3 linked regions of the Arabidopsis thaliana genome follow. The protein of the gene in region 3 interacts with the protein of the main gene of each other region in a pairwise test. Each region holds a gene or a part of one and is shown on either strand. Other genes may lie near its edges. The genes, in order: TTL, MYC2 and DDL.

Region 1 (3,834 bases), on a different chromosome or scaffold from region 3:
CAAATCCAAATAAATACTCGAATAGACATTATTTCATAGCAATTTTTATACATGTCGAATAAAGACTTCATTTCATAGCAATTTTGATACATGTTCCCGTAGTGGTACAACCAAAACAAAATGTGTTGGAAAGTTGGTGCCGCAGACAGCAGTAGCATAGCTCTAGCTCCCACGGTATGTGGAGAAAGAAAAAGGTGCAAGCAACAGTGGGACATGGAAATGCTCCCATTTCTGTGATTCTGTAACCTGAAATACAATGGAAACATAGGGAAAGAAGCAGCCTGGGGAATACTTTGCAGTGTCGAAGCTAATCCTATATGTCCCTGGATTCAAAGCGTCAACCAAATCCATCAGTGGCCCACTGCGCCCATCTCTATCAGTAGCTGATGTGCCCACACTGGACCAGACCCCACCACCTCCATGAACAAAGGAAGGACCGGTAGTACCACTCCACACTTCTAAGTGCACTTCAACACCTGCAGCTGGAGCACCACGTGAGACGTCTAAGACATGAGTCGTGATCGGTGGCCTACTTCTCTTGGGAGCTTTTGCTTCAGCTGCAACATTCAAATGCCCTCCAATGATTCTCAGACGATCTTACAAAGCGAGAAAGTAGAAAAGGTCACACAGATAACAAAGATAGCCATAAGGGTAAATCCTTGTATTCCAAAAGACACATACTTGATATCATACTGAATCCTAACAGGTTCAAACCCACACAGTCAAACACAAAACTTTGACAAGGAAAAGATTTGGTAAATCATCAATATACCTTGAGGTTTTGTTGAAACAGGAGAGCTAGAGCTGTCAGTTTCTGATATAACTTTAGCCTTATCGGAGAACAGCTTTGCCATTCGTAGCTCTGTTATTTTCATTTGTTCCATAGCAGCAATCTCAAGCTCCACTATTGGCCTATTTTCATACCTTTCCTGAAAAAGAGACGATTTGATGAATATGTAACTTTCTCATTCACTCACACTCAACAAAAACTGATTTGGAAATGCAAAAGTTGACCTTTAACGCATGGAGCATCTCAGCGTGAGTCCTGCCAGAAGCGCAAATAATGAAGATAAAGCCAAACTTCTTTTTGTAAAGTACATTCCATTCGGCAAGCTCCTAAGAAATTGAAAACAATTGATCATCAGAAGAAGAAATCACTGAAGAGATGAAGGAAAAAAAAAGTGAAGATCCATCACCTGTAAAGCAGAAGCAGAAGTTGTGGCAAAGGCGGTTGACTGTTCTGATACGCTCCGACGAGCAAAATCGGAGTTGATAGAAGGTGAAGGAGTATTCCCAATCTGAGGATGAGCAGAGAAAGCTTCAAGCCAATCTGTCACATTAACTTGGTTGAACCAGATGTCTCTTGCAGTATATATTGCTTCTTGAGAAGTTAACGGTCCAGACGTAGACATCTGCTTCGCGAATTCGGAGCTTCCACAGCAAACCTTCCATTCATCTTCTCCGATCTCCATCGCCATTTTTTCTCTCTTTTCTCCAATCCTCACTTCTGTTGACTGGTGTAAGATCAAAAGTCATCTAATTGGGCCTTTTCATAAACGGGCTTTTCAAAAATGGGCCTTTTCTTTATCTTCTTCCTTTTTTTATTCATCATCTTCTATATGTGAATTATTCAGAAACAGAAGCGAGAAGTTTCTTACAATTTGTAAAGAGATCTGTTTTAGGGTTTTGCCTTGTTCTTGTGGCGGGAATAACAAAGACATCGCCGATATGGGGAAAGACGAAGAGGAAATGCGAGGTGAGATCGAGGAGCGACTAATCAATGAAGAGTACAAGATCTGGAAGAAGAACACTCCTTTCCTCTACGATCTCGTTATTACTCACGCTCTCGAGTGGCCTTCACTTACTGTTGAATGGCTTCCTGACCGTGAAGAACCTTCCGGTAAAGACTACTCCGTTCAGAAGATGATTCTCGGTACCCATACCTCCGAGAGCGAGCCCAATTACTTGATGCTAGCCCAAGTTCAGCTTCCTCTTGACGATACCGAGAGTGAAGCTCGTCAGTACGATGATGACCGCTCTGAATTTGGTGGCTTTGGCTGTGCAACTGGAAAGGTGCGATTTTTTATTTTTGTTTCTCATTTCCAACTTTCTAGATTTGATTCTAGGGTTATAACGAGGTAAAGGATGATAAATGTTAGTTTGATTGCTTGTGTAGGTACAAATTATCCAGCAGATAAATCATGATGGTGAGGTTAATCGAGCTCGCTATATGCCTCAAAACCCTTTCATAATTGCTACCAAGACAGTTAATGCGGAGGTCTATGTTTTCGATTACAGTAAGCATCCATCTAAGCCTCCTCTTGATGGGGCTTGTAATCCTGATTTAAAGCTTAGAGGTCACAGCTCTGAGGGATATGGTCTCTCTTGGAGTAAGTTCAAGCAGGGTCATTTGCTTAGTGGCTCTGATGATGCTCAGATCTGCTTGTGGGATATTAACGCTACTCCTAAAAACAAATCTCTGGACGCTCAGCAGATTTTTAAGGTAATGCTTTGGATTTCTATTCGTTTTTAGTTTTGTTTTGTATCATCTAGAAAGGAAGGAATTGCACCCACTTAACGGAATCAGTTACACTTATGAAAGCTCATAGATAGATATTCAGGTTGGTTTCTGTGTTTTCCTTGCTGATGATTATTTTCTGAACTTAAGGCTCATGAAGGGGTTGTGGAAGATGTTGCATGGCATCTGAGACATGAGTACCTGTTTGGATCAGTTGGAGATGACCAATACCTTCTCATATGGGATCTGCGTTCTCCATCTGCCAGTAAACCAGTACAGTCTGTGGTTGCTCATTCGATGGAGGTGAGTTTGCAATATATTAGCTTTAGATACAGATAATACTTCTGGTTTTTAAGCTTGCTTTCCTTAACACTAAAAACCATTGAATCATATTGCCTCGTATGTATTTGCTAATTGTTGAGTTGTTTGAAATGCCTTAGGTTAACTGCTTAGCCTTCAATCCATTTAATGAGTGGGTTGTGGCAACAGGATCAACTGACAAGACTGTTAAATTATTCGATCTACGGAAGCTAAGCACCGCTCTTCACACATTTGATAGCCACAAGTAAGAATGATACGCCATAAATATTGCCGCTTTGAGATGGATTTTGTGTTACTAAGAAGTATTTACAAGTTACAGCAACATCACTAACCTTAATTATGTGCTTGATCTCCAGAGAGGAGGTTTTTCAAGTTGGTTGGAACCCAAAGAACGAGACTATTTTAGCTTCATGTTGCCTTGGTAGAAGACTTATGGTTTGGGACCTTAGCAGGTTTGGGCCGTAGACTTTAGTTCTTTAGTTTAATGTTCATGTATGGTCATGGAGGAGCAATATTGATATGTTTGAGGGTGTCTTATGATAGGATCGATGAGGAACAGACAGTGGAGGACGCAGAAGACGGCCCACCTGAGCTGCTGTTTATTCACGGTGGTCACACTAGCAAAATTTCAGATTTCTCGTGGAACCCTTGTGAAGATTGGGTTATTTCCAGTGTTGCTGAGGACAACATACTCCAAATATGGCAAATGGCTGAAAACATCTATCATGATGAGGATGACGCTCCAGGGGAAGAACCATCAAAAGCTTCTTAGCTTGTTATTTAGTATCCAAAGCGCACTGATCTTATGGGACAGTATTTATTTATACATCTCTGCTATTGTTTAGTTCAAGTATTTAGTGTTCATTGTGTAAAATGAGGCATGAGAGGATGGTAGCAAGTGGGAATTTTTCTTTATAACATGAAGGAGTTGATTCTAATCTCACTAAGTAGTGTCAACCAAAGCTATAACTCTTAGTTTATACCCAGATTGGGCG
Region 2 (3,600 bases), on a different chromosome or scaffold from region 3:
TGTCTCTCTGCTTCGACGTGGTTTAGTGGCTCTTCTCTACCGTTTGCTGGCTTTCTTCCTCGTTTCTTTGGACGTTTCTCTACTGCTACTTCTTTCACGACGGAAGCTTCTAGATCGGAGTGATCTGATTCTCCGGCGGTTTTATCTCCGAATGATAGAACTTTATCTTCGTTCAAAACCATCGACCTCTTTCTTTTGTTTTCGAATTGTGTTTGACCCGAATAAGAACTTGGATCCGGGTTTCCGGAGCTTCGTTTACCTTCATCGCCGAAGTTTAATATCTCGCCGGATCTTGGTTTCACTAAAGTAGAACTTGACGTCGAAAAATTAAGTTCTCGGGAGAAAGTGTTATTGAATTTCGGATTCTGGGTCTGAGAATGAACCGGACTCGGAGTCGGATCCAGATTCGGGTTTTCGGTTATTGTGCTTGAGCTACCGTTCTCAAACTGAATAGACTTTGAAAAAAGCTGGGAGCTAGAACTTGGAGCTCCGTTACCCGGTTCGTTAGATCCAGGTGTTCCAATCGGGTCATTAATCCACATAGACGGGTCGTTCTCACCTTGATCCGGGTCAAGATTCCAATTAAGACCCGATAAATCTCCAGCTCCGCCGTCGAAATTGAAAAGAATTCGAACCTTGTTAATAAGGTCCGAACTCTGTCGGATCGGCTCCGTTGACCCGACTTCCACAACTCCGTTCGCCGAAGGAATACACGCAATAGTATGCATCCCAAACACTCCTCCTTGCTTAGCCCGTTCACAACCCGACCCGGATAATTGATCTGACCCGGAAACCCAAACCGCGTTACCCGTTGCAAACGCTTTACCAGCTAATCCCGCACCGCAAGCGAAGCTCTGCGTCATCGAAACCAAGAAAAACCATTCCGTATCCGTCACCTCCTCATCAACAGCGTCATCCGACGGAGCAACACCACCGGAGATCAACGAGTTAAGCTCTCTCAACACTTTTTTCCTGTACTCCTGATCCGCCGGAGTAGAAAACGGCGGCGAACTCGATCTCCGTCTCGGGTTTGCTTTATCTTCTTCACCTTTGTAATAACCATCTCCCCATCCGAGCACGGAGGCGCCGGAGAAATCATACGACGGTTGCCAGAATATAGCGTAGGTCCAACCTTCGTGTGTTCCTTCAATCAAAGCTTGTAAACGTTGCTGAAGAGTCTCTTGATTAAATCCCGCCTGTGCCGGAATCTCCATCGCCGGCGTCGGAGTTGTTTCAGTCGTCGCCGTCGTGGTTGTCGTCGACGCCGGAGGCCATAAAGTTGAGATATCGGAAGAGCTCATGAAAGCTTCCATCATAGAAGCGTTGTCGTCGGTGGTCCAAAGATTCATCGTTGGTTGTAGCCGGTAATCAGTCATTCCATAAACCGGTGACCGGTAAAAAAAAACACGTTTTTAATGAGAGAGAGAGAGATAGGAGAAAGTCTTCGTAGTGGAGAAAAATGGAGAGCGTCTGCGATTATTATATGTGTAACTGATCTTGAGGGTGAATGTGTAAATTTGTTGTTAGGGATATTACGTGGCGAGATTTCATTGGGAAACGTGGATGGTTGTAAGAGAGAGAGAAGCTTCGATGAACTCACATCCCGATTTAACCCCATCGACTGTTGGATCGACGCGGTAAGAATTAAGACCGGAAGTGAGTGAGATCGTACGGCTGTTTGGTCGCACGTGTATCACACGCTCTTTAATGATTGACTTAGATTTTAACTGATTGTTTCTTTTGTACCAAAGAGTGAACTGTGAGCTCAGTGGAAAAACACTTTACTATAACTTTTCACCTATTTTTTCGATTTATATTTGTCGTTTTGTCAACTTTTAGAATATATTTTTTATAACAGATTAATTACTTATTTTATAATGTTATTTTAAAATATTAAAAATCAAAATTTAAGATTTGTAATCTCAATTATCAAATACTGTGTCTTAGCTTAATTAATTTTGAGATTTGCATATCTATATAACGTGAGTCGTTGCTAATAATTCACTAAAGCAAAAATTTGTGTTTGTCTTAATATGTTAAATTGCAAGAGAGTGAAATGCAAGTGAGAATCTCTATCTCCAAAAACGATTCTTGTCTGCTTAACTAATTAATTTGTTGACGACTAAATAAACTAATAATTTATTAATTTGACCAAACGCTATTATTAGCATATGCTTTAAGAAAGGAAGAACTCCTTTATAATATTTTTAGTTACATTCACATTTCACGATAAACACATGCTAACAACGTTATATTGTTTGTTTAATTTACAATATTAAAATTTTATTTTTAAAGTTCGAACAATAATTCAAGGATTAGGTCATTAGGTGAGTATGAGTGAATAACATAAATCATTTGGCATCTTTTCCTCCATGCATAAATTTATCACAATAATTTAGCATGCCACCAATATGGTCCCATTACTCCTAACCCTTACCTAAAAACCAAAAATAAAACAAAAAGAATTAAGATAAAATAGTATATATATATATATATATATATACTTCTAAAATTCTATCTTGCGAAGACAAATTCTTACTAACAAAACACTAAACTTATGTTATTGTGTTCTTGTAGATTTACGTTGTCTTGTGATAAACTCAATGATATGTCTTTATACGTTCAGATTAATGATACTCCGGTTGATTTTTCTTATTAAAACCATATTAAACTAAAGAGTATTTTACCAACAATAAATAGTAAAATAATTTTGGGATCTAGTATACCATTTTTTGTAAATAACAACCAAAATAACTTTTGAATATAATTTTCTGAGACATCTGTATTGGGTGAACTCGTCAATGAACGATTCAACAAACAGAAAACAACCAAACCATTGTCTGGTGGTTGTGAGTCGACTTTTGAACATGTTTACTATAAGAAAATTATGAGAAGATGTTACACTAAGTTTTGGCTAGGTGATTCGTGATATCATATTTCATGTCGACTTTGGGGGTGACGCCACTAGAAAACAACAATATCCCACTAAGTAATGAATAATTAGTGGGATAAATATAGAGATTTCCCCCCTTACTTCGAGAAATGAGATAACAAAGATGACAGTTTTCTTGTTATGTTGTTATGTTGAGCTTAGAATGGGGATGATGGAGTGTTCTGACTTCTTAGAGAAAATGGTTGAAATTTTTTAAGTAGAGAGTCGGGTTGATTAAATGAAGATCTTACTATCACCTTGTTGAAAGAGAGGGACATTAGTCGGGATTCGGGAACAATGTGGAACGTAAGATATAAATTTCCCATATGTTATTTCCTAACTGCATGAAATAAAAATATATCTGTTACCTGATCCAAATTTGTATGTGACCAATTCGAGTTATTCTTAGATTTAGAGAAATAGAGAATCATCAATTGGTGTACACTTTCGATAGATCGTCGAACATGATATAATGATCTTGATTGATTTGGCATGCTCGAATAGCTTATACAATGTGTTACATATGTTAGGTTAATAAGTGACTAGGATGACCTTGTAGAAGCGCCTCAATCTATGTATCTTTTGTTGATTGAGTTCCTAAGTAGCAATAATTTATTCATAATTATAATAACATATGTTCATATATATACATATGTATATAAATTTAC
Region 3 (3,834 bases):
ATGTGAGAAGCTATTAAAATGGTTCTTAGATTTTTATTTGCCTAATTCTCTCAAATGTGACCTCTATATAGTGGGGGAGGCAGAGGTCAGGAATGTTGTAGGTTTGGCACGATTTTGGCCCTTTGTTCTTATTATTGTTTAAGTATTTACTTGTTATAATATTATTTTGTTGGTTTTAATATTCTAAATGGCAGTTGAACAGTTTGATTTCTTTATGTACGTGCAAGAACAAATAAAGATATACAAGAGAAGTGGATCACCTTCTTGTTGTAGTGGAGATTATAAATGTACACATCAACTTGAGATTTGCTAAATTGTAATCTTTTTAGTTAGCACACAATATATAACATAACAACATAAAGTACTTTTGATGGGTGAACCTAAATGTATTTTGGTAGTTTTCCAATAAAAGTGTTAATTTAGATAAAAACATTTGCCTAATGATACATTTGCCTGATGATAATCACAAATTCACAGAAACAGTAGATAAGGATCAAATTTTATATTGTCCATTAATGAAAATAATTTCGATAGAAGCTGAAACAAGATATATTAATTTCATTTTAGCTTATATTCTCCGTTATCTAGCGTTTGATGTAACATTTATAAGTATATATCTGTATTAAGTACAAGAATTTGTTGAGGAAGGAAAAAGTGTTCTTACAAACAAAAATATAAATTTGTCAATGATGGAGACATGTAATTCGTGGGGAACTGCTACTAAGTGTTTAACGATAATATATATGGTTTATAACGTGACAAGGTGATGATAGTCAATTCATCTATTTGAAAATCCTTCAACAAAAAAACAGAAAACGTGATGAAGGCAACATTAGGCTAACACCACAAATAGCTAATTGATATATAAATATAGTCGGTCCACGTTCTCGAACCTTTATAGTCCGGCAGGATAATTATTTTACTATTGTCTAGCTTACAAAACATGTACGACATATTGCACTTTTAGATTGTGAGATACGAATTGTGTGAATTTGTAAAGTTAGTACCGAATCTTTGATGGTTGTTATAATAATTTGCCTCTTTTTCATCAGCAATCTATGACGTAAGAGGCTACGTATGTTCGCTTAAAATTTGACCTAATTTGGACTTTGTCATAGTGAAACCGTATGACAATAACGAAGAAGGTGACGGTGACCGATTCTGATATATGTGACAGTCTAGCCAGTATTTTGCAAAACATAAGATACTAATGAAGTGCATGATGCATGACCGATATTTGAATTAGATATACAAGCCGGCTGGTAGATCATTAGACAACATTTGTTTGTGTGTCTATGATGCGAAAAAAATAAATATTCTCAATCTTTGACAAAAAATATAATAATGACAAAGTACATATCGTTTTGTTCATACGTAAACAAGAATTAGTTTTTAATCGTCTATAATATTGGCGTACACTAGTATATACATGAAACTAAAGATACATCAAATAAACAAGGAGACATGATTTGGGATTCGATGAGCCATCACCCGACAAACCAAAGCATCACCCGAGAAACTCATACTGACCCGTCTCTAAAGCTCGAGTCTATGAATGCTGTCTTCCACATAAGCTTCAAGGCCAACAGTTGCGACTACAAATCGGTAGTAAGGAGAACTACAGATGGGATTTCAGGACATATGTTCCTCGAAGTTGAAAATTTCTCTCCACAAGTTCCTTCATGAGAGGATCAAAGTTGGTGGTAAACCTGGTGCACTCTGTTACAATCAGAACAAGATCACTGTCACTTCTGATGGTTTATGTCGTTTAGCTATCCACCTCAACTATATCTATGATCTTGTATTTGTCTTCTATCCTATCAAAGTTGGTGGTAAAGCTGGTGCACTCGATTTGTTACAGGCTCACCGATTTGTTTGATGATCAATTATAAAATCTTTGTTGCAAACTAGGACGAAGAAACAAAAATCTCGAAGGAAGTACAAGGGTACGACGTTACAAGCGGCTTCTGCCCTAATTATACATATCCTTTCTACCAAACAAGATATGACACGTGTCAACTAATGGAAGTTTTACCATACCGTCTACAATTTGTTTGATATTGAACCCCTCAGTTTCCATTTATTTGCAAAAGAGGCCAAATAAATGATTCTTCTCGTTTTGGCTCTGATTCTTTTTATCTCTGCGATTATTATTATTCACTCTCTCCTCTTCTCTCCGCCGAAGTAGTCACAGTTCCGGCCACCAGGTAAAATTTTTCTTTCTCGTTATGCAGCGATTTTTTCTCTTAACGATTCTTGCAACCCTAGACTATGCCCGGAACTTCTGAATTTAGTATTTGAAATCTGTAGCTTACGTTTTTTGGTTTAGGGCTTTTGCTCCATTTCTAGTTTCTATGCATTTGGGAATTAGGGTTTACTGTGTTATCTGGAGCTCACATGCCTTTTCCTTCTGACCCTGGTTTCAATTTGTGATCTTTCCAAAGGCAAAGAAGAGAGAAAACGACCCTGACTCCAATAATGGCTCCTAGTTCTAGGTCTCCTTCACCACGTACGAAGAGACTGAGAAGAGCTCGAGGAGAGAAGGAAATTGGGAGAAGTAGAGAGAGAGAAGATGATGGTAGAGAAAGGGAGAAGAGAAACAGTAGGGAAAGGGATAGAGATATAGGAAGAGATAGGGATAGGGAGAGAAAAGGAGAAGGAGAAAGAGATAGGGAAGTTGGGGATAAGAGAAGACGATCAGGGAGAGAGGATACTGAAAAAAGGAGAAGGACAAGAACAGATGATGAGAGATACTCTAGAGGAAGACATGAGAGGTCTACTTCACCGTCAGATAGGAGTCACAGGAGTAGTAGGCGTTCACCTGAAAGAGCTATTGCCTCAAGGCATGATGAGGTATTTCTGCTTCTTTCTTTAGCTTGGATATGTTCTTAATCTCAGAAGTGTTTTTTTTTTTGTTTTGGGTTTTACTTGTGCATATTCGTATTCTGCTTGAAAAGATAAATGTGATTGAAATTGTTTAGCTCTGATGTATGCTAGAAAAGGTTAGCCTCTGCTGCTTGTTTCGTCACATAATAAATAATTGGAATCCTGTAATCTAGCTTATCCATCTCGTGAGTCTATAACTAGAACCTGCAGCCAGCCATTTTTTGCTTACTCTGTTGCTAAAGGACTTAAGAAAGATAGTCTCTTTGTTTCCCTTCAGCATGTCCAGTAACATCACTTCTCATGTTTCTCTCTTTTTAGTAAAAGCTCATTATATAGATTATGGTTGCTTTCTGCAAATTATCATTTTCTGCGAGCCACAGATTTTTGTTACTTCTTCAGTCATTTTTATCGCCTTTTGTCTTTTCAGGGGTCTAATGCAAGAGGGGGCAGCGAGGAGCCGTGAGTTTTCTTCTTATTAGATTAGCCGTTACAATTTTTCAGTCTTTCTTTTAACCATGTTATGGGTTTTCGTTAACAGAAATGTCGAGGAAGATTCAGTCGCGAGAATGAGAGCAGTTGAAGAGGCTCTGGCAGCGAAGAAAAAGGTATTATATCAAGCCCTATTGATTTTCAATTTCCAATGTCATTTTGAGCTCGCTTAGCTCATCCATGCATAAATGCTAACGCTTCAAATCTAATTTTGATATATCTTGTAGGAAGAACCATCATTTGAGCTATCAGGGAAACTTGCTGAAGAAACTAACAGATACAGAGGTGAAACTTCTGATCCGTCCATTTCATTTAAGAATATCACCTGTTACCATTACCTTGTGCTAGAAACTTTTGCCATAGTGTTTTCATTGCATGTTTGAACTGCGAAACATCTGCCTTTGTTGTCAGGTCATATTTACTTAATTTTGTATGCGTACGTGTCTGTCACTGGGTAAA

What was found.
Region 1: the proteins of DDL (region 3) and TTL interact in binary tests that used the Arabidopsis thaliana proteins (3 or more experiments, as listed by UniProt).
Region 2: the proteins of DDL (region 3) and MYC2 interact in binary tests that used the Arabidopsis thaliana proteins (3 or more experiments, as listed by UniProt).

What each region holds. Positions count from the first base shown.
Region 1 is NC_003076.8:23,554,384-23,558,217, forward strand, and holds TTL (transthyretin-like protein), read right to left. Parts: upstream 1,619-3,834; 5' UTR 1,479-1,618; coding exon 1,197-1,478; intron 1,117-1,196; coding exon 1,015-1,116; intron 930-1,014; coding exon 773-929; intron 597-772; coding exon 163-596; 3' UTR 13-162; downstream 1-12. Other genes in the region: MSI1 (Transducin/WD40 repeat-like superfamily protein), read left to right, coding at 1,729-2,073, 2,177-2,503, 2,669-2,821, 2,959-3,083, 3,196-3,291, 3,383-3,611. UniProt on the Arabidopsis thaliana protein: Involved in the last two steps of the degradation of uric acid, i.e. the hydrolysis of 5-hydroxyisourate (HIU) to 2-oxo-4-hydroxy-4-carboxy-5-ureidoimidazoline (OHCU) and its stereoselective decarboxylation to (S)-allantoin, a major ureide compound.
Region 2 is NC_003070.9:11,799,538-11,803,137, forward strand, and holds the start of MYC2 (Basic helix-loop-helix (bHLH) DNA-binding family protein), read right to left. Parts: upstream 1,871-3,600; 5' UTR 1,377-1,870; coding exon 1-1,376.
Region 3 is NC_003074.8:7,176,245-7,180,078, reverse strand, and holds the start of DDL (SMAD/FHA domain-containing protein), read left to right. Parts: upstream 1-2,058; 5' UTR 2,059-2,207; intron 2,208-2,444; 5' UTR 2,445-2,478; coding exon 2,479-2,853; intron 2,854-3,313; coding exon 3,314-3,345; intron 3,346-3,424; coding exon 3,425-3,491; intron 3,492-3,602; coding exon 3,603-3,660; intron 3,661-3,834. Other genes in the region: AT3G20555 (uncharacterized protein), read left to right, coding at 1,465-1,605, 1,688-1,879. UniProt on the Arabidopsis thaliana protein: Involved in the microRNA (miRNA) and short interfering RNA (siRNA) biogenesis. May facilitate DCL1 to access or recognize primary miRNAs. Binds RNA non-specifically.